2 linked regions of the Diceros bicornis minor genome follow. The protein of the gene in region 2 interacts with the protein of the main gene of each other region in a pairwise test. Links are inferred from orthologs where the notes say so. Each region holds a gene or a part of one and is shown on either strand. Other genes may lie near its edges.

Region 1 (9,619 bases), on a different chromosome or scaffold from region 2:
GATCGCGCGTCTCCAACTTTGAGGGTGGGGGAAGGGAGCGTCTGGGAGTTTCTAAGAGGAACTAGGGAAACTGCTGGACACGTACAAGTGCTCTAAGCAGCCAACTAGTGACTTCAAACACCTGGGAAAGTCAGTTTCAGGTGAGTTCATTTTCCTGCTGATGTCATTATACAAGAGGTTAGAATAGTTCTCAGCCTTGGCTGCACGTTGGAATCACCTGGTTATTTAAAAAATACTAACGCCTGTGTTCCACTCCCAGAGATTCAGATTTAATTGGCCTGGGGTGCAGCCTGGATTTGGGGTTTTAAAACTTCCTTCGGTGATTCTGTTTAGATAAGGTTGAGAATCACTGATTTAGGAAGCAAAGACCTACAGGGAATAAAGACTTACATACTGTAAATATCAGATACATCACAGTTCTTGGGGAAGGGGTGGGGGCCAGAGAGAAAATGGAACGCCTGATCCCCTTAGAGCCTCACCTAGGTGGAACCACAAAAAACAAAACCCTCGGGGATGCTACCTGAATTATAAGCTTTTAAGCTAGGAAGAGCCCACTTCTGGAATAGGATTTGTAAAGTAGGTTGATAAATTAGTAGAAAAATGTGAAATTGTTTTACACTGGTAATGACAGTGAAATGTCTTAATCTCAAATGTAACATGATTCTACCTCAGGAAGCTGACCTCTCTCCCACCTCCCCCTTTCTCTAGTGACATCTGTCTCTTCCTCCTCAAATCTTGACTATTTTTACTAGTTAGGAATTACTCTAAATATAGCATTTCCTCACAAACATCCCTACAGGTTCCAGACAACCTAAAATGTCTTAAAGGAGAAGGTGATCAATATACTACAAAAAAAAAAAAAAAAAAATGGCTCATATTAGGGACAGTTTTCCAGTGGAAAAAAATGAACCAAAACAGTTTCAAAAATCTCCCTCCCCTGCTGGCTCTGCCCCCGGCCCAGCTGGCTTTAAATATCCTCTTTTCCACTTCTGTCCCACCTCATTCCAATGCTCCCTTAAACAAGACTTTTCAATAAAGACATGATAGCACTCCATAATTACAATAATTATGATCTTTTTTTTCCTTAAGAATTGTAGTAGCTTTTTATCTCCTTCTCTTGCCTTCAGTCTTACTGGGCTATTTTCAAATTCTCTGCATTCTTTTCCTTATAAGGAATATCTCTCCTTGATCTATCAGCGGCTCTTTTGAAAAAACTAAATAAACGTCCTGCTGGAGAATTTGGGGGAGACAGACATCCTCCATTTAGCCATATACGGAGCAGACATCTGATCTACATTATACAAAGCAGGCACAGAGTTATATGTGTTTTTTGGCTCTTTTTCTAAAGCCAGGTAGTTTGTAACTTAAATGTTTTAGCTAAATCAGTGCTTCCCTGAACCCCCTTTCCCAGGAATCTTGATTTTCACTGAAAATTTCTTTTTGTCAGATTCTAAATGTCCTATGTCTGGATTTCTCATTTACAAAGCACACTTGGAAATTACATTTCAAGCCTTTCACGCCACAAAAAGCCTGTACTGATTTCAAGACCCAAGACCCTCCAGCAATTTGCATTTTACTCTCATACAAAAAATTCTGCGGTTGAACTTGGTAGTTCAACTTCCGGGCATAGCTTTCCCGGGTGCTCATGCATTCTTGGAATTGTTATACCAACTTCCCAAGGAATTCTTGCCTAATTGGGCCTCTAGGCTTAATTAGCTTCTGGAATGGAATCCAACGGTGTGAGAGGAAGTCAGTCCTTTGGAAATCTAATGGTTGGCTTGACTTATTCAGCAGAAGAGGCCAGCTCTTCAGCGAAAAAGATTCCAAAGGGCAGTGGACAAAGTGCTGGTAGAGCTTTGGCGGCCTATGCATCACCCCTGAAACTATGCGGTGGTTGTCAGAGGGCTGACAGGTGGGGGTGGGGCGAGCAGGAAGGGCAGGGGGCAGCGGGCTCACTATACCATATAAAGCACTGAGCTATATATAACTCCCAGCTTACTTTCTGGATCTGGTGCCCTCAGACTGCAGACCCAAGCAAGTATCATCTTCCCAGGCAGATCTTAAGGGGTGGATTAAGACTTCCCTGGTGAGAAAGGAGGCCTCAAGTGTCTCTCTGCCCCACCATCAAGCTCGGTCTTCTGAGTAAACCTAGCACCATGCCATTCCTTCCATCTAGAGGCCAGGCCCTCTGGATCCTGACTAGACCCACCACTGAAACCCAGGCCTTCCCATCCACCAGACATGGCAAAAGGAAAGAGAGGAAAGAAAACTAGGCATTCTGTCTGCACAAACCTTGGTGATGACACCTCAGAAGTTTTCTGCCACCAGGGAGGCAAGGTTCACCTCCAAAGTCCAATTTCAGCTGCTCTATGCTCCCAGCTTCTCACCCACCCACCTCCACCCCCAGGGGTGGGGAGAAGGAAGGAGGAAAAAAGAAAGAGGAATGGATGAAATATAAATGAAGGTGTGCAGTAGCAGTCCCAGGCAGCATCCAGTGCTCTGAGCCATGGCGAGGCTGTGTGCAGATGTCCAGCAGGAGGAGGTGACCCTCCTCCATTGCTCTCTGGCCCGTGTGGTGACCCCGGAGTGACTACGCGGGGCAGGAGGTGAGGGAAGCAGTGTGTGCGTGCACTTACGTCGGTGGCCTTTTTCTCCGCCAGCTCCAGCTTCTCCTGGGCATCTTTGAGAGCCTCGGAGTATTTGTCCAGTTCATCTTCGGTGCCCTTGAGTTTCTTTTGCAGCGACACTAGCTCATCTTCCAGCTGGGAGTTGGCCGTGGGGGACGGGAGGGGGGGTGGGGGGGTGGGTGCAGCAGGCAGCGTGATCCCGCAGGGGAAGGGTGTGGGTGCACAGAACCAGAAGGACAGGGACAGAGGGAGAGAGAGAGGGAAAGACAGGGAGGGAGAGAAAGAGAGAGAGACAGAGTTAGCCATTCGTGCGCCGCACCGCGCCGCGCGCCCCGGGTACCTTGGCGGCGGACTCGTCGGCGGCCAGGAGGCTGTCCTCCGCCTTGTGCAGCTCCTCCAGCACCCGGTCCCGCTCGTCCTCCGACGCCCGCATTAGCTTCTCCATCGCCGCGATGTCCTCCTCGAGCTGGGGGCAGCGGCGGGCGGGCGCGGGCGGCCGGCACGGACCGGGTGTTAGACACACACACAACACAAGGGCGCCGGGTTGGCTGAGGGCCCTCGGGCTTGGGGCGCCACCGAGTTGGGACTCAAGGGTCCCTGGGTAACCTCCTCTCGCTCCGAGCTGGAACCGCACCGTGGCCCACCCCGCACCTCCACCTCCCCCGGGAGGAGACTCCTGCTGAGGCCTCAGCGGGCTCAAGTCCACAACTTGGGGGCGCAGAAAAAGCCCCTGTTTCCCTATCTTTCGGGCCGCACTCTCTATTCTGTCCTATCTTTGTTCTTAGGAAAAAAATCCATGACTTCCTCCCCTCCCCCGTCTCTATCCCAGTTGAAGTTTATATTCTCCCCAGTCAAAAGTCCAGAAGAACGACTAACACTTTCTGGACTTGATTCCCTTCAACCCCTCAACCCTACCGACCCCCCCATCCAAAATTGATTCCCGATGCTGAGGATCAAGTGCCTCTAGGACTTGGATTGACTTCGCGAGCTCTGGGACCAGAGAAGGGAAACAAGCGTCCTCAGACGAGACTAAAGAGTTAGAATAAGCCTGAGTCTTCTCTTCCCCTCCCCCTTCTTAGACGCGCGTCCCTGGCCGCCCAGGAGTAGGGGGTGGCCCTCCGAGTCCTGGGGGTGAGGGGCCGGGCGGGGGTGCCAAGCCCGGGTGCCAGGGCTCGGGGCCACCGGGCGGACGGAGCGCGCGGGCGCACGGGGGGCGCAGAGCCGGGGAGGCGCAGACCTGTTTGCTCCTGTCCTCCGCCGCCTTCTTATCGGCCTCCGCCTGCTCTGCTCGATCCAAGGCGTTCTCCTTGTCGAGCTTCAGCATCTGCATCTTCTTCTTGATGGCGTCCATGGTGGCGGCGGCGAGGGGCCCTGGGGCTGCGGCGGGAGCGGCGAGGCGAGAGCGCGGTGGGGCGGCCGAGCCGGAGTGCGAGCGCAGAGCAGCCTGCTGCTCCCAGATATGTACTTTCCCAAGGGGGCGACCGCATTCCTCAAGACAGCCAATACTTTTTTGGAAAAGCTTTTTTCTCCTGCCCCTTTTCCCCCTCCTTCCTCCGCCCCCTGCCCCCTCCCCGCTCCTCCCGCGGGGGCCGCTCGCCCATTCGCTGCCGCCTGCCGGCCTCCCAGTTGACGGTGGATATGTCTATATATGGGGACCGGAGCCGCCGGGGCGGCGGCCGGGTGAGGCCGCCCTGTTTCCAAACCTGCACGCCAGGGAGAGGGCACCGGGGCCGAGCCCGGGCCGGGGCGCTAACCTCTGCGCTGCGCGGCTCCTCCTCCCAGGGCGGACGCCCCGCCATCGAGGGCCCCAGGCGAGCCCGCCCTGAGCCACAGGAGGCCGGGGCAATAGGGCAGGTAGAGGGTGCGCGTCGCCCCCCTGAGCCGCCAGATCCCGGCGCGCACAGCATCAGGCCCCGAGGCCCCCAGCAGCCGCCCCACTCGGCGCCCGGGCCTGCGCGCTCCCTGCACTCGCCCAGCGCTTCCCCGGCAGCTCTCCGCTTGCCGGGTGTCATCCGGGCGCTCACTCTGGAAACTCAACCGGAGCAGAGAAAGGACGAGTTGGGAGGAAGTTCTGGGGGCCCCTCCTGAGACTTTCTCTGCTGGTGCGGGTCAGAATGTCTGGGCATCTTTCTGCGTGCCCTTCCTCCAAGGAGAGGAACAGTCGAATATTTTAGGGACACAGGACTCGGCTTAGTTCTGCTTTTGCCTGTGTGTGGTGCTTCTGCAAAGGTGCTTGTGTGTGTGCTAGTGTGTCGGTGTGGGAATTTAAGGGGAAAGAATATTGAGTGTAGACTCAGGCAACTCAGTCTTTGGTCTCCATCATCAGCAGCTGTGTGACCTTGACGCATGGCCTCGGTGCTGCAGTTTCCTCATCTTTAAATCCCGGGGGGTAGATGATCCCTGAGGTGCCTCCAGATCTCACTTTTTATCATTTTTCTTGCACTGATTTTAGGGAGTCGGCCTCTTTCCATGTTAGGTGCTCAGGTACCAGGTTGCCAAAACGTGGGATAGATGTTACCCCAGCGAAGTCACTGTATCCACAGCCATAACCAGGAGAAGCGATCAGGCCAACTCTGTACAGACTGTGAGACTTCAAGCTCTGCTTGAAGGCAGGAGGATTTCCCTTACATCTCTGACTCCTCCCAGCCCCCAGTGGGGAAAAGCTTGCTCTTTTCAGAGCTTTGGTGGGAGGGGAAGAGAAGGGGCCACCCCAAGGCTCTGCCTGAGACTGGCTGCAGCAGAGTTGGTGAGGGTCTTCTTCACCCTCCCCAGAGAATAATTCACAACCTGTACTACATGGATACTGAATATTCCCTGGGCAGTATCTGAGTAGATTAGGCAGGTCAAACAACTTGTAAGTCCTTCAGAGAATAGTCAAGTTCCTCTCCAGGATTTTATCAAGTTTCTTCCACTAACCTAACAGCCCAGGAAGGAAAAGATACCCTGACCTAATGGTCAGAACATTAGATCTGTGTGCATAGGGGCTGTAGGGCACAGAAATTCACCAGAACCCCCCACCCACAGGAGCACTAACAAAGTTCAAGGCCTATGGGCTTGAACAGATGCATGGACCACAGGGAGCTGATTCTCCAGCTTGGAGCTCAGGACAGGGGGCAAGAGTAGGGACTCAAGAATTAGACCCTGGGATCCAAACCTGGCCTGGCCACCTCTTTGCAATGCGACCGTAGCCATGTTACAATCTCTTTAGGCCTCAGTTTTCTCTTCTGTAAAGTAGGTGTAAAAATTCTTCCCTGTTAGAGTTGTTACAAGGATGACAATGCAATAAAGAATGAAAAGCATTTTGTCTAGCACATAGCAAAGTGCTCAGTAAATTACTGCTGCTTGAGTGGCAGAGGGCAAGTTGTTTCCCCTCTCTGGGCCTCAGTTTTCTCATCTATAAAATGAGGCAACTGAACTAGAGAAACTCCTGGAGGGATCATATAATATTGACTTTTCTCCACTGTGCCTAACATAGCAGAGCAACTTGTTAAATTTTCCTTAAATGAACTGGTGCTACAGACAATTCCTCAAACACACCATTGGTGAGCATCTGCTCTATACCAGGCAGGCACTAGGCTCTGGTATCCCCAAATGAGTAAGACACATCCATGCCCTCCACGTGTTCAGCATGAGCAGGGGTATAAGAACTCAGAGGAGAAAGAAATAGAAATGACCAGTTCGGAGCAGACAGAATAAACTTCTCTGAAAAGTGCTGGTTTTTAGACTGATTTTAGAGGAAAGGTAGCAGATAGAGAGGAGGATACTGTATGAGCCAAGGGAAGAAAAAGGAATGTTTGATGGTGGTTGGACACTAGGTTTCCTTGGGGGTGAACTGGGACATGAGACTGGAAAGGTAGATTGGGGGCATATGGTAAAGGGACTGAATTCCGGGTTCAGACGTTCAGGTCTTATTGTTTGGGTTGAAGCCAAGCAGTCTTCTTCCCCTCCCTGCCCCTCTCACCCAGAGTTATGTTCAGAGGATGAAGACTGTGGTATCCAAGGGTGGAAATGGAGCTACACAGAGCCAATTTTTTAAATCCCTTGGTACCACATCATTGATCCCTAGATTGATGGGTTAACATAGCAGGTCCCTGGACTGAATCATTTCCATTTCGCCACTGTTGAGATTCTGCCCTATGAATAGCCTGACAGCCAGCCAGACCCAACCCAGCTTCATGGACTGCACCATCCATGACCTTTCTGTTGTGTAGGGCTAGGACAAGCAAAACATCATGACTTACACAATTTCTTCTGTACTGGACAGATCTCCTGGTCGCTGGATAGGATCAAGAGGGGTGGGCTGGACAGCCGCGTGCTGTAGTGTATATATCCCTCTTGCCCAGCTGACTGGCCATGACTCATGGACAGACCCAAAGGCTAACCAGAGACCTAGTGCTGTGGTCTGTCAGGCAAAGATGGACTAGGCCACTCAGCTTCTCTCTCACTGTGGTTTGAACTAAGGAATGTGGAAAATATGAATCATCAGCTGTGGCTGCTGAAACAAAAAGTGTTTGCAATCTTGGGCTAGAGATGCCTTGAATGAGGGTGATTAAGGCTATTCACAAATATTTGGGCTTTCTCCCCAATCAGGGTCTTGGTAGGATTATACATCTTCACCCAATTTAGTTAGGTGTGGTCATTTGACTTGCTTTGGCCAAGGAAATGTGAGCAGAAGTGATTTATGGCGGACACTTGAAGAGTTAACACGTCTCACTATGTTCATTTTTCAAGATTCTTGCTGCTCTGTCATTCTGGGTTCCCACGTGGCTATGGTAAGCAGAGCTCCCCCTCTCCTCCCAACTAACCCTTGGTGGACATGTAGCAAAAGAGAGATATAAACCTTTGCTATTTTAGGCCACTGAGATTTGGGGGTTGTTTGTTACTGAAGTGTTACTAGCATCTCCTGCCCTAATTCAGCACAACAGGTCATATATCACCCCAGTTATGAGGAAGCAGAGATGTCTGGTTATAGAGAAAGGAGGATGGAGCAGACATGTCAAGATAAACAGAAGCACCACTGAGAGAAAGAGAAGGGAGAATATGACCAAATTTCAGTGCCAGGAGTCCTTATAATAACCCCCTTTCTTTCCTGAGGTTACATGAGAGAGTCTGTGTTCCTTGAAATTAAAAAAGCTGACCGAATCACGGTGACATGGGAGCCTGCACAACATCCTTGGTCCAGAGCTTCTGTGTGAACATCAAGAATGTCTGTGGAATTTCCAGGAGATTTCCGTAGTGCTTGGTATTCAGTCATTTCTCAGTAAATGTTTGTTGAATGACTGTTTATTGGCTATTAGCCATACAATTAAGTAGGAGAAACAGTATCTGGGAAGGAAAGATAACAAAACTATGCTCAAAAGACATTATTTCCATTCAAAATATGGATTCTATGTTTTATTTTCTGAAGTATTGTGATAGAGTAGGACAAATATTTACTGAACACCTTTTGTGTGCCAGGCATTTAACTAGAGTTTATGGGATCAAGGAAGGTGGATAAGAGACCTGGATCTTTTCCTCCAGGATAAGTATTTATGTATGACGTGGGGTAAAATCCTCTCTCTGGGGGTCATTTAATGTGAATTTCCAACCACATTACCATTGACCCAAATGCTGCCTGGGCCCCCCTATAGCTGCGAGGATCATGTATCTCAGGTTTTCTAGGAGAGCTTTAACATTAAATATACTGTCCCTTCCTCTCATAAGAGCACCCATACTTGCCATACTACATTTTCCAATATTTGGTTAGAAAAGACAATCAACATGAGCAACAAGTGTGACGCCTTTAACAAGAAGACTCACTTGACTATGTACATGAGGGTTTGTTTGTTTAAAAACAAAAACAAAAATAAACTCTTATTACCTGATAGTCACACCTTGTTTAACAGCACTAGCTCTACCCGTGTACCATGACTCCCCCAGCGTCAACAGTGCTGACTCAAGCAATTATGGGAACGTGGAGAATCTATAATTAAATTGAGAGACAATTGCTTCTTCCACTGGGTGTTGGAATGCAGCGTGTTATGCTCACGGCTCATTGTCTCATGGAACAAGATACAGCCTGTTCTCCTCATACACAAGGGATCTTTCTTTCTCAAGGTTTGTGATGCTACCATCAAGCACCCAAGGAAAGTATGCTCTGCTTTCAGGGAGGGTTTGGAGCTCTGAGAAAGGTCTTCAGGCCACTGTGGATGCCTTTCTTCATTTAGTGACCATCTTTCATTGTTTAGAGGTCCCTGAGTATGCTTGCTACCTGGAGGGTTGGCACAGGCAAAATGGTTCTCCCAGTACAGAAAAAGACAATAAGTTAGTTCTGCCTTATATCTTATCTTCTGTTTTTCAACAGGAGCAACTATGTATAGATTTAATCAAGCTGACTTGTGGTGGAATTTAGCTGTCTCAAGAATAGCAATATTCCTTATTTATGTAAAGTCTAAAAAGCACTTTCAAGTTCATTATCTCCTTCTCACCACCTCTTATGACAGCATCAGGATGAGTGCTATTATTCTCATGCTATAGATTAGAAAACCAAGGGCAGTGACTGGCTCAAGGTCACCCAGCGGGGAGGTGGCGGTGCAGGGACAAGAACGTGAATGACCCAGCTCCCAACAACGGTGCGCTTTTCATGAACCGTTTCTCAGCCTGTTTTATATTAATATTTGATTTCATATTTAAAAGCAACACATTATAAGGTGAGAAGGAGATGAGAGGGGGCCACCAGAGGTCTCCTCTACATCTGAACATGGTTAAAAGGTGATAGTAATGAGGCAGGGGCTGAAAGGTGTCTTATCTTGCATGAGCCATCCCAGTACTGCAGCCCGGGCTCCTAAACCCACCCCCATTCTCAGCTGATGGGGGAACCTGGTGAGAAGGTGTGGTGGGCCAAGGAAATCTTTTCCTACTCTTGTGTTTATGGGACAAGAAGGACATCTTCACAAAGATAGAAAGGGAGGTACATTAGTTTTGTTCCTAGTAGCTTCAAGGGAGAGTTTGAG
Region 2 (10,058 bases):
CAACATACGAATTTTCAGCCCATAACACCTGCTTTCTGGCTGTGTAGCCTTGTCAAGTCGCATCCCCTTTTGGGCCTATAAAATGCTTGGGTTGAACCAAGGGCCACACTGAGCTCGTGACCTGTGGGTCTATATGATGCCAACCTGCTTGCTCCCTTTTTCTCTCATCAGGTCCTTGAAGCTGCTGTGTGCTTCCCTTCGGCATCAAAGCTTCCACACTGCTGGGAGTCACTACAAGGGTCGGACAGGCGCTGAGCACCTGTGGCTGACGCGGCATTTGAAAGACCCGTTTGTGAAGGCTTCGAAGGTGGAGAGTTACCGGTGTCGAAGTGCCTTCAAGCTTCTGGAGGTGAACGAGAGGCACCGGATCCTGCGGCCCGGCCTCCGGGTGTTGGACTGTGGGGCAGCTCCTGGTGCGTGGAGCCAGGTGGCAGTGCAGCGAGTCAATGCTGCAGGCACAGGTGGGGCCTCCTGCTGCTCTTAGGGCCCCTGACCACCAGGAGTCTGTAGATGCCAGCCAGCTGCCCTCTGCCCAGGGATACAGGGCAGCTGAGCCGCTTGGTGAAGGCACATACTTCTGACTTGGTGGTTTAGTAGTAATAATGGTAAAGATAGGACACTGACATTTTCAAAATGAAAGATAAAGTAGAGAGGTATAAAGAAAATTAAAACCACTTCAGACCACACCACATTAATATGTGCTTTAATATGTTGGTGTGCATCCTTCCGGAATTTGTGTTTGCAAACATAGCTACACATATATAACTTCTTTTTCGAAAGTGATATTACACCACACTCTTGTTGCTGATTTGGAGCCTTAATGGAGCTATTTTTTTCACTTACTGATATATTGCCATCTTTCTGTGACAGTACAACTGAAGCAACCCCAGAGGTTTCTGGATCCTATTGCTGGAAGCCGTGGGTTTCTTGGAGGTCCTGCTGGGGCTGCTCAGGGGAGCCCTCGCAGCCAGGCCTCTGGATTCTCCACTCTGGCTCAACCCAAGGGATTCAGCTTTTATCTGTTTTATATTTTAGGGTTTTGTCAAAGATATTCTATATCAAAAAGGTTCCCCTGACTAATAAACAGATAAACCAACCACCCATAAAATTTAGAAAACTGTGTCATCCTTGTAACTAGCTGCCTAGTATTCTAGAGAATGGCGTGCTGTTGGCAGTTATCCTGGCTCCTCGTCTGGGAAAGGTTGCTTTCCAGTCTTCTGCTACTATGCACAATGTGGGGTGAATATCCTTACCATTAGTATTTCCTGCCGGGAAGTCTGAGGGTGCTGCATCCACTGGCATTGTATGACATGTGACAGTCACAAAGATCTCGCCCAAACATCTTTGAGTGGGGACATTTGTGCCCATTTTCCTAATGAGTAGATTGAGGTTCAGAGGAGTTGAGTGACCTGCTAAAAGTATAGACCTGGGGATGCTGCTCCCCAAGTTCATTCATCAGCCGCATTACTGTGGGTGGGATGCCTTAAGGGGCTCTAGAACAGTTTAAATTTTTTTTAGCTCACTAACTATTTATCGACCAAGTGAATGAAGTTGTGTCAGAAACTTCAGCTCCTTCTCCACTGCTGGGCCCCTCCACAGACTTGCTACCAGCTGGTTTGAGTGGCTGCTGTTCCCCTAACTGCTCTTCAGGAGAAGCGGAAAAGCGGCCAGGTTGAACTTGTAGGAGGAAGTGGCAGAAGCAAGGATTGTGTGGATAACATGACTTGGTTTCTTTTCCTCCCAGAAGTTGCAAAAATGCGACCAAAGCCGTTTGCCTTGAGTGGACGCTGCTGAGGTTGTGGTACATGGGTGTTAAAGAGGGTCAAGTGCCTAACATGAGATATGAGCTGTCCCACTTTCCACGGCCGGAAATGGAGAGTTTTCACCTGCAAAATACCTGGACTTCCGATATTTAGAGAGAAATAAAATACACATTTCCCCCCCGCCTTTTATTAAGCAGACTGAGCTAGCAAATCTGTGGCCGTACCCTTACCTTACCCACCCTGATGTGTGTCAGCAGAGCAAAGGTCCCCCTCTGTGGAGGGAAGTGATGCAGAGAGAGGACGTCAGGGCTTGTGAGGAGGAGCGCTTTGAATGTGGGTGCAGTACGAGAGGAGGACGAGGGGGAGGCTGGGGACAGCAGTCGTGCAGGCGCGGTGTCTTGTTTTTGGTAATGTGAAACAATGACATCTTTTCTCTCACAGTGGCTATCACTCAAATATGGCAAGACATTACTTTTGGTACCTTATTTGGCATCTCTCTATCTTCCCCTTCTCTGGCTTGTTTCTAATAGTTTCTATATCAAAAGAGATTGGATTAAGCTGCAGAATGGATTTGTTGATTTAATCCAGAGGCACTTGATATATGAGTGTGTCATTTTCTATTTTAGTTTATCACAAAGACCACTCAGAGATAAGAACCCTTTCATGGAGAGCAGGCCTCATGGAGTGAAATGAAATCAGACATGAAGTCAAGTCTCAGGGTGTGGCTCCAGGTCTGCCTATCTCTCCCTGTGACTCTGGGACAGTCACTTTTCCTCTTGGCCTCAGTTTCCTCAGATGCAGAGTGAAGGACCACCACTCCCCACCATGTGTTTTTATAGGATGTATAGAAAGTGGGAAAAAGCCTGTGTCTGCATATTTGCACAGTAGCTCTTTTCCTTTGTCCTGACTTTTTATTTCTACTTCATTATTTTGTTGCATGTATTTTTGTGGGAAGATGCAAGGTGCAAATAAATAACGCATTCACCATTTCTTCCTTAGATCCCAGCGCTCCTGTTGGCTTTGTACTTGGGGTAGATCTTCTTCACATCTTCCCCCTGGAAGGAGCAACTTTTCTGTGCCCTGCTGATGTGACTGACCCAAGAACCTTCCAAAGAATCCGAGAACTGCTTCCTGGTGGGAGAGCAGATGTGATTCTGAGTGACATGGCACCCAATGCCACAGGGATCCGAGGCCTCGATCACGACAGGCTCATCAGTCTGTGCTTGTCCCTTCTGGACTTGGCTCCAGACATCCTGCACCCCGGAGGAACATTCCTTTGTAAAACCTGGGCTGGAAGTCAAAGCCATCGGTTACAGAAGAGACTGACAGACGAGTTCCAGAACACAAGGACTGTGAAACCTGAAGCCAGCAGGAAAGAGTCATCAGAGGTGTACCTCTTGGCCACACAATACCGAAGAGTGAAGGGGTCTGTGAAGGACTGAGAGTTTCTTCTGCCTCTTCTGGTCCTTTTTCACTGCAAATGTAGCCTGAGCTCTTTCCTGAAGTGTGGCTGGGGAGATGGAGCTTGATCTGATCTGGGAGATGCGGCAAGCAGGACAAGTGGGGGACCTTTTTTTTTTTTAAAAACCAAAAAGATAGGACAAAACTATATTCAGTGTCCAGTGTCCATGATATATGGTAAACAGCAGTCTCTCTAACATGATTTGTGAAGAGGACATTATGAGAAGGAGACAGGCAAAGATAAAAGGATGAGAAGACAGTGAGAAGGATAAACACGAATACGCTGAGACAGACAGACAGACATACACACACCTGTATGTCACTTCTCATCTTACAGACTGTTAGCATGTACAGAGAAACAGGTTTCCACCATGGCTCCAAGAACACAGCACACAGGTTTCCAGTTGTTATTTTGGCTATACAGTGCAATGTAGAAAAATCTGAAATTTCAGACTGGAGATTAATTTCCATTTCTTTGGTGAATGATCTAGAAACATCCATTCTTCAAGCAGTGAGAGTTCCCAGAGCAATGAGGGAAGACATTTGGTATGAATTATGCATAGGGTGGGTGCGCTTTGGTTTTTCCTGCGAATGTGTGTTGCTGTAATGCTCCAGGCTCCCAAGACCATAAAGGTAATTGCCAAAGCAAGCTGCGATGTGGTGTGTTCGTTTATTTCCTTTTATTCTCCTCCAGGAACTTGGTGCTGCTTTGTAAAACTATATAGATTGTGTCATCTTGAGGGATTTCCATTTTTAAAAAAATCTGCTGGTTTCTTCAAAGTCATTTGTGGAGGTGTGTTTATCCCTCGACAAGTTCATTGACTGTGAGGATGATTACATCCCAAAGACCAGCTGCGGAAGAAATGCTAGATGCTCAGGAATCTCCAGGAGTTCCAGGGCTTGGTCCAGCTCCCTGGAGTACGCTGCAGGCCGGATTTTAAAGTTATTCATTTTACTTTTGGCTGTAGTCAGTTGAGTACAGAGAACCCCCTGACCCACCTCTTCCCCATCGTCCCTGTCCCCATCGTCCCTGTCCCCATCGCATTGAATTCCCGGGGCACACAAACGAGTATTGTGTCTGGAAGAAGGGTATTCAGCGACGACCCTGGGGCGCTCAGCCCCGGCCTGGGGGTGCAGGGAGGAGGAGGGATGAGAACCCAGAAACAGTGATACCCAAGTTACAGGACGGGGTTGCTCTAGTTCAAGAGGGGCCTGTTGGCTGTTGCGCCCTGAGAACAAGGTGGGAGGGGGTCAGACGGGGGGACCCTGGCGGCCCACAGGGCAGGGGGAGGAAGGCCTAGTAGCATGGTACTTTACTTTTCCCAGTGGGCCCAGAGAAAAGTAAAAGAACGCGCTAACTCAAGCCAATACCACAGTAGCAAAATGTGGGGACCAGTCGAGAGTGCAGGAAAGTTTGGCCCTCCGAGGCCACCGTCGGGCGGTGCTCTTCCGCACTGTACGGTGCGAGGCAACCGCCTCAGTGGAAGCCCATCCTACGGGGGCGGGGCACCCGGACAGTCCGCGGTCCGGCATTCGGTCTCGAGCGGGGTCCCCCGGGGTGGGGGCTCCAAAGGGCGACGCGGAGGCCCCAGAACCCACCGGTGCGCAGACCCGGAGCTCCACCGCCGGCCCCGCCTAGGTCTCGCGAGAGCGCAGCCACACGTCTCGCGATACGCGGGCGCGGATGGAGAGGAGGGAGATCTGAGCGGCGGCGGCGGCGGCTGGGGCGGCGGTGGCGGTGGTGGCGGTGGTGAGGTGACGGCAGGTGAGGTGGGGGGAGGTGAGCGGCTGGGTGGGCGCGGCGGCCGGGGTCCCGGGTGGGCGCCGGGGCGGGAGGCTGGGAGGGGCGGCCCGTTGGGGCCTGGGCTGCAACTGCCTGCCCAGGCTGGGGCCAGGGCTGCCCGCCGTGGATGGGCGCGGGTGCCGCTCCCTCTGTCCGCCCCTGGGGCCCTGACCGGCGCCCCCTCCACGCCCCCTCTGCTCCCGGCGCCGTCCCGCTGAGCCTGGGCCGGGCTCCGAGCCCCGGCTTCTCTCGGCGGCCTCTGCGGGGGACCCCCTCCCTCCGAGGGGTGGCAGCGGGGAATGGCCAGTGTCCGCGAGGGCCGGGGCGCCCACGGAGGAGGGGCTCTTCACCTGTCCGCTCTCCCCGGCTGGTCCTCAGGCGCAGGCGGCCTCCCCCGAGACTGTCCAGGGGAAGAGATGCTCTTCCCTCGGGTGCCGCCCCTGTGCGGTGACCAGCGCTGTCCCCTGCGCCTCTTCAGTTGAGCAGTGTGGTAGTGCTGCCACTTCGCTTTACAACTAAGGAGACCGGCGGGAAGATGGGAGGCGACTTGCCCAGAGTCACGCTGCCTGCAGCTCGTCGAATGAGGGCTTGCGTTTCACACCTAGTATGAGTTTGGAGAAAGCAGAAAAAGCGGGTGGCGAACTATCAGGCCCGCGTGATGGTGCTCTTGGCGGCGTGAAGTGGTGTCGCGGAGTGATGAGCATCCTCGTAATTTCTTTAGGTTTCCGCAGCCATCGTTTTGCCAAGGACGGGAAGGGCAGGGGAGAGGCAGCGTGCTCTGGACTCCCAGCTCCAGGTTTCTGTTGAGAGGGGTTCAGATTCAGTGGTTAGGTGGCTGGAAGATTTGTCTCTTGGATAAGGAGGATGAAGTTTGAGCTGCTGCCTTATCGCCTGCCTTATGGAGCGGCTTAGTTCCAGACAGTTGAAAATGTATGTGTTCTTTTTCATTCTAGTGTATTACGTCCATCAGTTCTTACCCGGGATGCCTCTCGAGAAGAGGATATGTTGGCTAAATTTCCCATCATGGGATGGAGAGTATGGCCCTGGTCTAATCTTGGCAAATGGAAGGATTTGCCGTCCAGTGATGCTGCCTCCCACCATGCAGGCCTATATGTGCGAGGCTCAGGGCACTTGGGTGCTTCTGTTCTCTCTTCCAACCCATTTCCACTGATAGTAGGGATGAGAGGTGGGGCAAACAGGTATGATGTTCAGGGATGGGAACGATGGCCTGCAGAAGACAAGGGCTGTGCATGCACAAGACCAGTGTCCTTGTTAAATGGGAAATTCAGAATCTAAGATTCTGCACCTTCTTTTTGAGTGGGGAGAGGTGTTTTCAGTCTAATACGTAGGGGAAATCAGTGAGAGCCGGCTGTTTTCCTAAGGGGGAAAAACAGTGCACCTGTAGGCATTCACACCTTCTGGCTATTGACTGTGCCTGGGACGCTCCACGCCTTCTGGCTGTTAGACGGCCTGGTGTGAGGCGTAATAAGCACAGGTTTGGAGATGCAGGTTCTTTGCCGCTGCTTGTCTTCGGCCCTTCATACATGTGCTTGTGGAACACACTCAACCTTTGGAGCCAGAGACACCCGCGTTCCAATCTCAGTTCAGTAAGTTTTTGAAGCCTCCTCTTATATCGTCTCTAAAATAAGCGTGAAAGACCTAATTCATCCGCCTGTTGTGAAGATTGATATGTCCTGTGTAAAATTACAAGCAGAATGATAGTCAAAAGTGTGACAACAGTCACACCATCTGCCCTCTGGAGACTTCTTATAGACACTGTAATCCTTACAACTTTGCAAAGTGGGTTTCATGATCCTCAGTTTACAGATGAGGAAACTGAGGCTCAAGAAGTCTCAGTGCTCAGTAAATGTCGGATACCTTTCTTTTTGGTACCTGGTTGGAAATAGTAGTAATCTTATTCGTGTCATCGTTAACGTATATTATAATTAGCATTGCTATGGTCATCATCCTTATTGCCACTGTTGTGGCTCTGTTTCTGATTCCCAGAGGCCAGACTTTTTGTGAGTGTTTATGTGGGAGATGTGCCACCTGCCTGCTGACCACCTCCTGCTGGGAGCTGGTGTGCTGGCAACACTCTGACCGTCAGTGACTTTGTGGTGTGTTGTCTTTTTATGCGTCCATCTCTTCTCTGATAAATTGGCAGTATGTGCTCCCACTTAATCCCGAAGAATGTGGTTATGGACACTGGAATATTTTAAGGTCTCTGAGAGAGCGTTAAGGGAGTGGGACTGCCCAAAGGTACCCCCTCAACGGGCCGCTGTCAGAGTTGATGGCACATGGAAATGTTCACTGTGACCCTGCCCTTGTCTTCCTCCAGAAGGGAAATGGCCATGGAGGACCTGGGGGAAAACACCACCGTCCTATCCACCCTGAGATCTTTGAACAACTTCATTTCTCAAAGAGTGGAGGGAGGATCTGGATTGGATGTTTCCAGCTCTGCCCAGGGTTCTCTGCAGATGCAGTACCAGCAGAGCATGCAGGTGAGTGCCGTGTGTCAGGATAGGGGTCTCTAGATAAGGACATCTGCTCTGGGCCTGTTCAAGCTCCATATAATTCAAGTGAGTGCCAAGTGTCGGGATAGGGGTCTGTAGGTGAAGACGCCTGCCCTTAGGTGGGGCCTCTTCAAGTTCCATATACTTCAAGTGAGTGGCATGTGTCAGGATAGGGGTCTCTAGGTAAGGACATCTGCCATTACGTGGGGCCTCTTCAAGCTCCATAGAGTTCAGATGAGCGGGTGTTTCAGGACAGGGGTCTCTAAAGACACTTGTCCTTATGTGGGGCTGGTTCAAGCTCCACAGGGTTCAGATGAATAGCGTGTGTTGGAATAGGGGTCACTAGGCGAAGACACCTGTCCTTTGGTGGGGCCTGTTCAAGTTCCATTGAGTTGAGGCAGATCAGTGTTTCTGCAGCCTAGAGGCCAGCTGGCCGTCTCCCAGGTCTCCAACGTGGGCATTCACAGTTTTGGGAAGATAGCTGGAGGCCACGGTCTGGCCCTGAACTGTCCTGGCTTCCAGCCTGATTAATCAGCACCCCAGAGTGGGTCTGGTACTCAGCAGTGCTCACACCAGTGAGCTCACAGACACTAATGATAGGGTGATAAAGCCAGTTTATTCATTTCATTGATGGAAAAACCCCAGACTGCCTGGGAGCATGACCACCAGCATTCTCCAGCCAGCTGCTGGCTTCCTTGAAGTGGAGTACCTGGGAAGGCTATGTTGTAAACACAGGCTCGTGGTCAGCCTAGCTGGAAAGCCAGGGCAGTGGGTGACGGATCGGGTGTGTAATGGTCTCAGACTATGGGGGGCCATTTGCAGATTTTTGCTTCAGTCTGTCATGGGGTGATTTTTACAGTTTTACTCTGATTCTAGTCTTATTTCACTTTATTCCAAGTTCTTGGCAGTGCTCACTGAAGACACATTGTAAGGAGGTCAGGTCTCCTGAAGGACTTCAGGTTCCAAAGAGTTGTGGGGTCAGTGCCAGTGGGGCAGGGATCACTGGGGCCACACAGGAAGGGGGATGTGGTGTCTGCAGCCTTGCTCAGGCCCCGGCCTCTCTGCATAGACGGCTGCATCAGGCAGTCCCTGGCTTCTCTGCTTGGATTCCTCCTTCCTGTCAACCCTGTATGTGCTGCTGGAGCCGTTCCGTGATAACATCCTGGGTCAGACGAGCAAAGGGTTTCCTGTCGCTCCAGGAGCCCTGAGGAGGCACATGCAGCATTTGGGAAAACACACGCGGTATGTTTGTGTGCCTTCATTTGCTGAGTGATTGATTTACCGTATGCTTGTTGGTGGGCTGACTTGCTCACTGCCCTTTTTTGGCAAGGATTGTTCTTTATTCTGAAATTAGGTCTTTTATATTTGTCTTTGGTGTTAAAACACATTTTTTGAAATAAAGATGATAATAGATTGTAGTTTTTTTGATCCTTACTCACTGGCAAAATAAGAAGTTGGCAACTTTGGTCTAAGAAAGTGTTAGAATTGCCTGTCTGTCAGAGCTGTAGAATCTAGAATTCCAGAGGTCCCCAGTTTTCACTCAGTGCTGTTCAGGCTTCCCCAGTTGGGGGATCAGTAAATGAGTGGTGTAGTCAGAGCAAGCTGTTAGAGTCATGTGGCTACAAGATCTGCCTCTGGCCCTGAACTTGGCCCTGTCCTGTCCCAAGACTTCAGTCAGGGGTGCCCTCTTTCCTACCATGCCTCCACCAAATGGCAGTGAGGGAACTGAGACCCGACAGGTCTGGGGAGCCTGGAGGAGAGATCAGTATGTCTTACTTGCCAGTCCCCTCCCCCCTCCATTTTTTTTTTTTTTTTTTTGCTGAGGAGGATTGGCCCTGAGCTAACATCTGTTGCCAATCTTTCTCTTTTTGCTGAGGAAGATTGGCTCTAAGCTAACGTCTGTGCCAATCTTCCTTTGTTTTGTATGGGGGATGTTGTTGCAGCATGGCTTGGTGAGCGGTGTATCGGTCCATGCCCAGGATTTGAACCTGCAAACCCTGGGCCGCTGAAGCTGAGCACATGAACTTAACCACTATGCCACCGGGCCGGCCCCGCACCCCCCCTTTTTAATTAAAGTTCCTGTTTCCGTTTGAAAGTGTTTATAGTCTGCTCTGTTACACATCAGTGTTGGCTTAAATATAACAATAATGTTTCAGTTATTTTCCTTCAGATACAGTCAATGTTCCAGCAAGATATGGCCCATGGACCCATGTTTCTAGAACTCCTGGTCCCTGTGCAGTGGTGCCCCCGGAACTGGGGTCCCGCCGTGCTTTGGAGAGGCTGGGCCCTGGCTGCAGACACAGTGAGACTAGGAAGGCTAGTGAGTTTGATAGGTAGAGTTAGGAACCCCCAAATGTCAAGAGGTGGGGATTGAAATGAGAAAATATCAGAGGGGTCAAAAAGGGTGGACTTGGGCCCCCAAAGAGTTGGGGGGAGGTGGAGAGGATGCCTTTTCTTTGGCCCAGGATTGCTCACCCTCGGCACTGTTGACATTTTGGGCTGGGTAAGTCTTTGTTTTGCAGGACTTGGCTGTGCCTT

What was found. The genes of interacting proteins can lie anywhere in the genome.
Region 1: the proteins of MAD1L1 (region 2) and TPM1 interact in binary tests that used the Homo sapiens proteins (3 or more experiments, as listed by UniProt). The two-hybrid records come from large-scale screens. The link is inferred for Diceros bicornis minor from reciprocal best matches to the Homo sapiens genes MAD1L1 and TPM1.

The regions. Positions count from the first base shown.
Region 1 is NC_080744.1:57,612,187-57,621,805, reverse strand, and holds the start of TPM1 (tropomyosin alpha-1 chain), read right to left. Parts: upstream 4,088-9,619; 5' UTR 3,979-4,087; coding exon 3,865-3,978; intron 3,094-3,864; coding exon 2,968-3,093; intron 2,763-2,967; coding exon 2,637-2,762; intron 1-2,636. UniProt on the Homo sapiens protein: Binds to actin filaments in muscle and non-muscle cells. Plays a central role, in association with the troponin complex, in the calcium dependent regulation of vertebrate striated muscle contraction.
Region 2 is NC_080765.1:12,312,211-12,322,268, forward strand, and holds the start of MAD1L1 (mitotic spindle assembly checkpoint protein MAD1), read left to right. Parts: upstream 1-6,093; 5' UTR 6,094-6,510; coding exon 6,511-6,614; intron 6,615-7,345; coding exon 7,346-7,508; intron 7,509-10,058. Other genes in the region: MRM2 (rRNA methyltransferase 2, mitochondrial), read left to right, coding at 172-461, 2,763-3,205. UniProt on the Homo sapiens protein: Component of the spindle-assembly checkpoint that prevents the onset of anaphase until all chromosomes are properly aligned at the metaphase plate.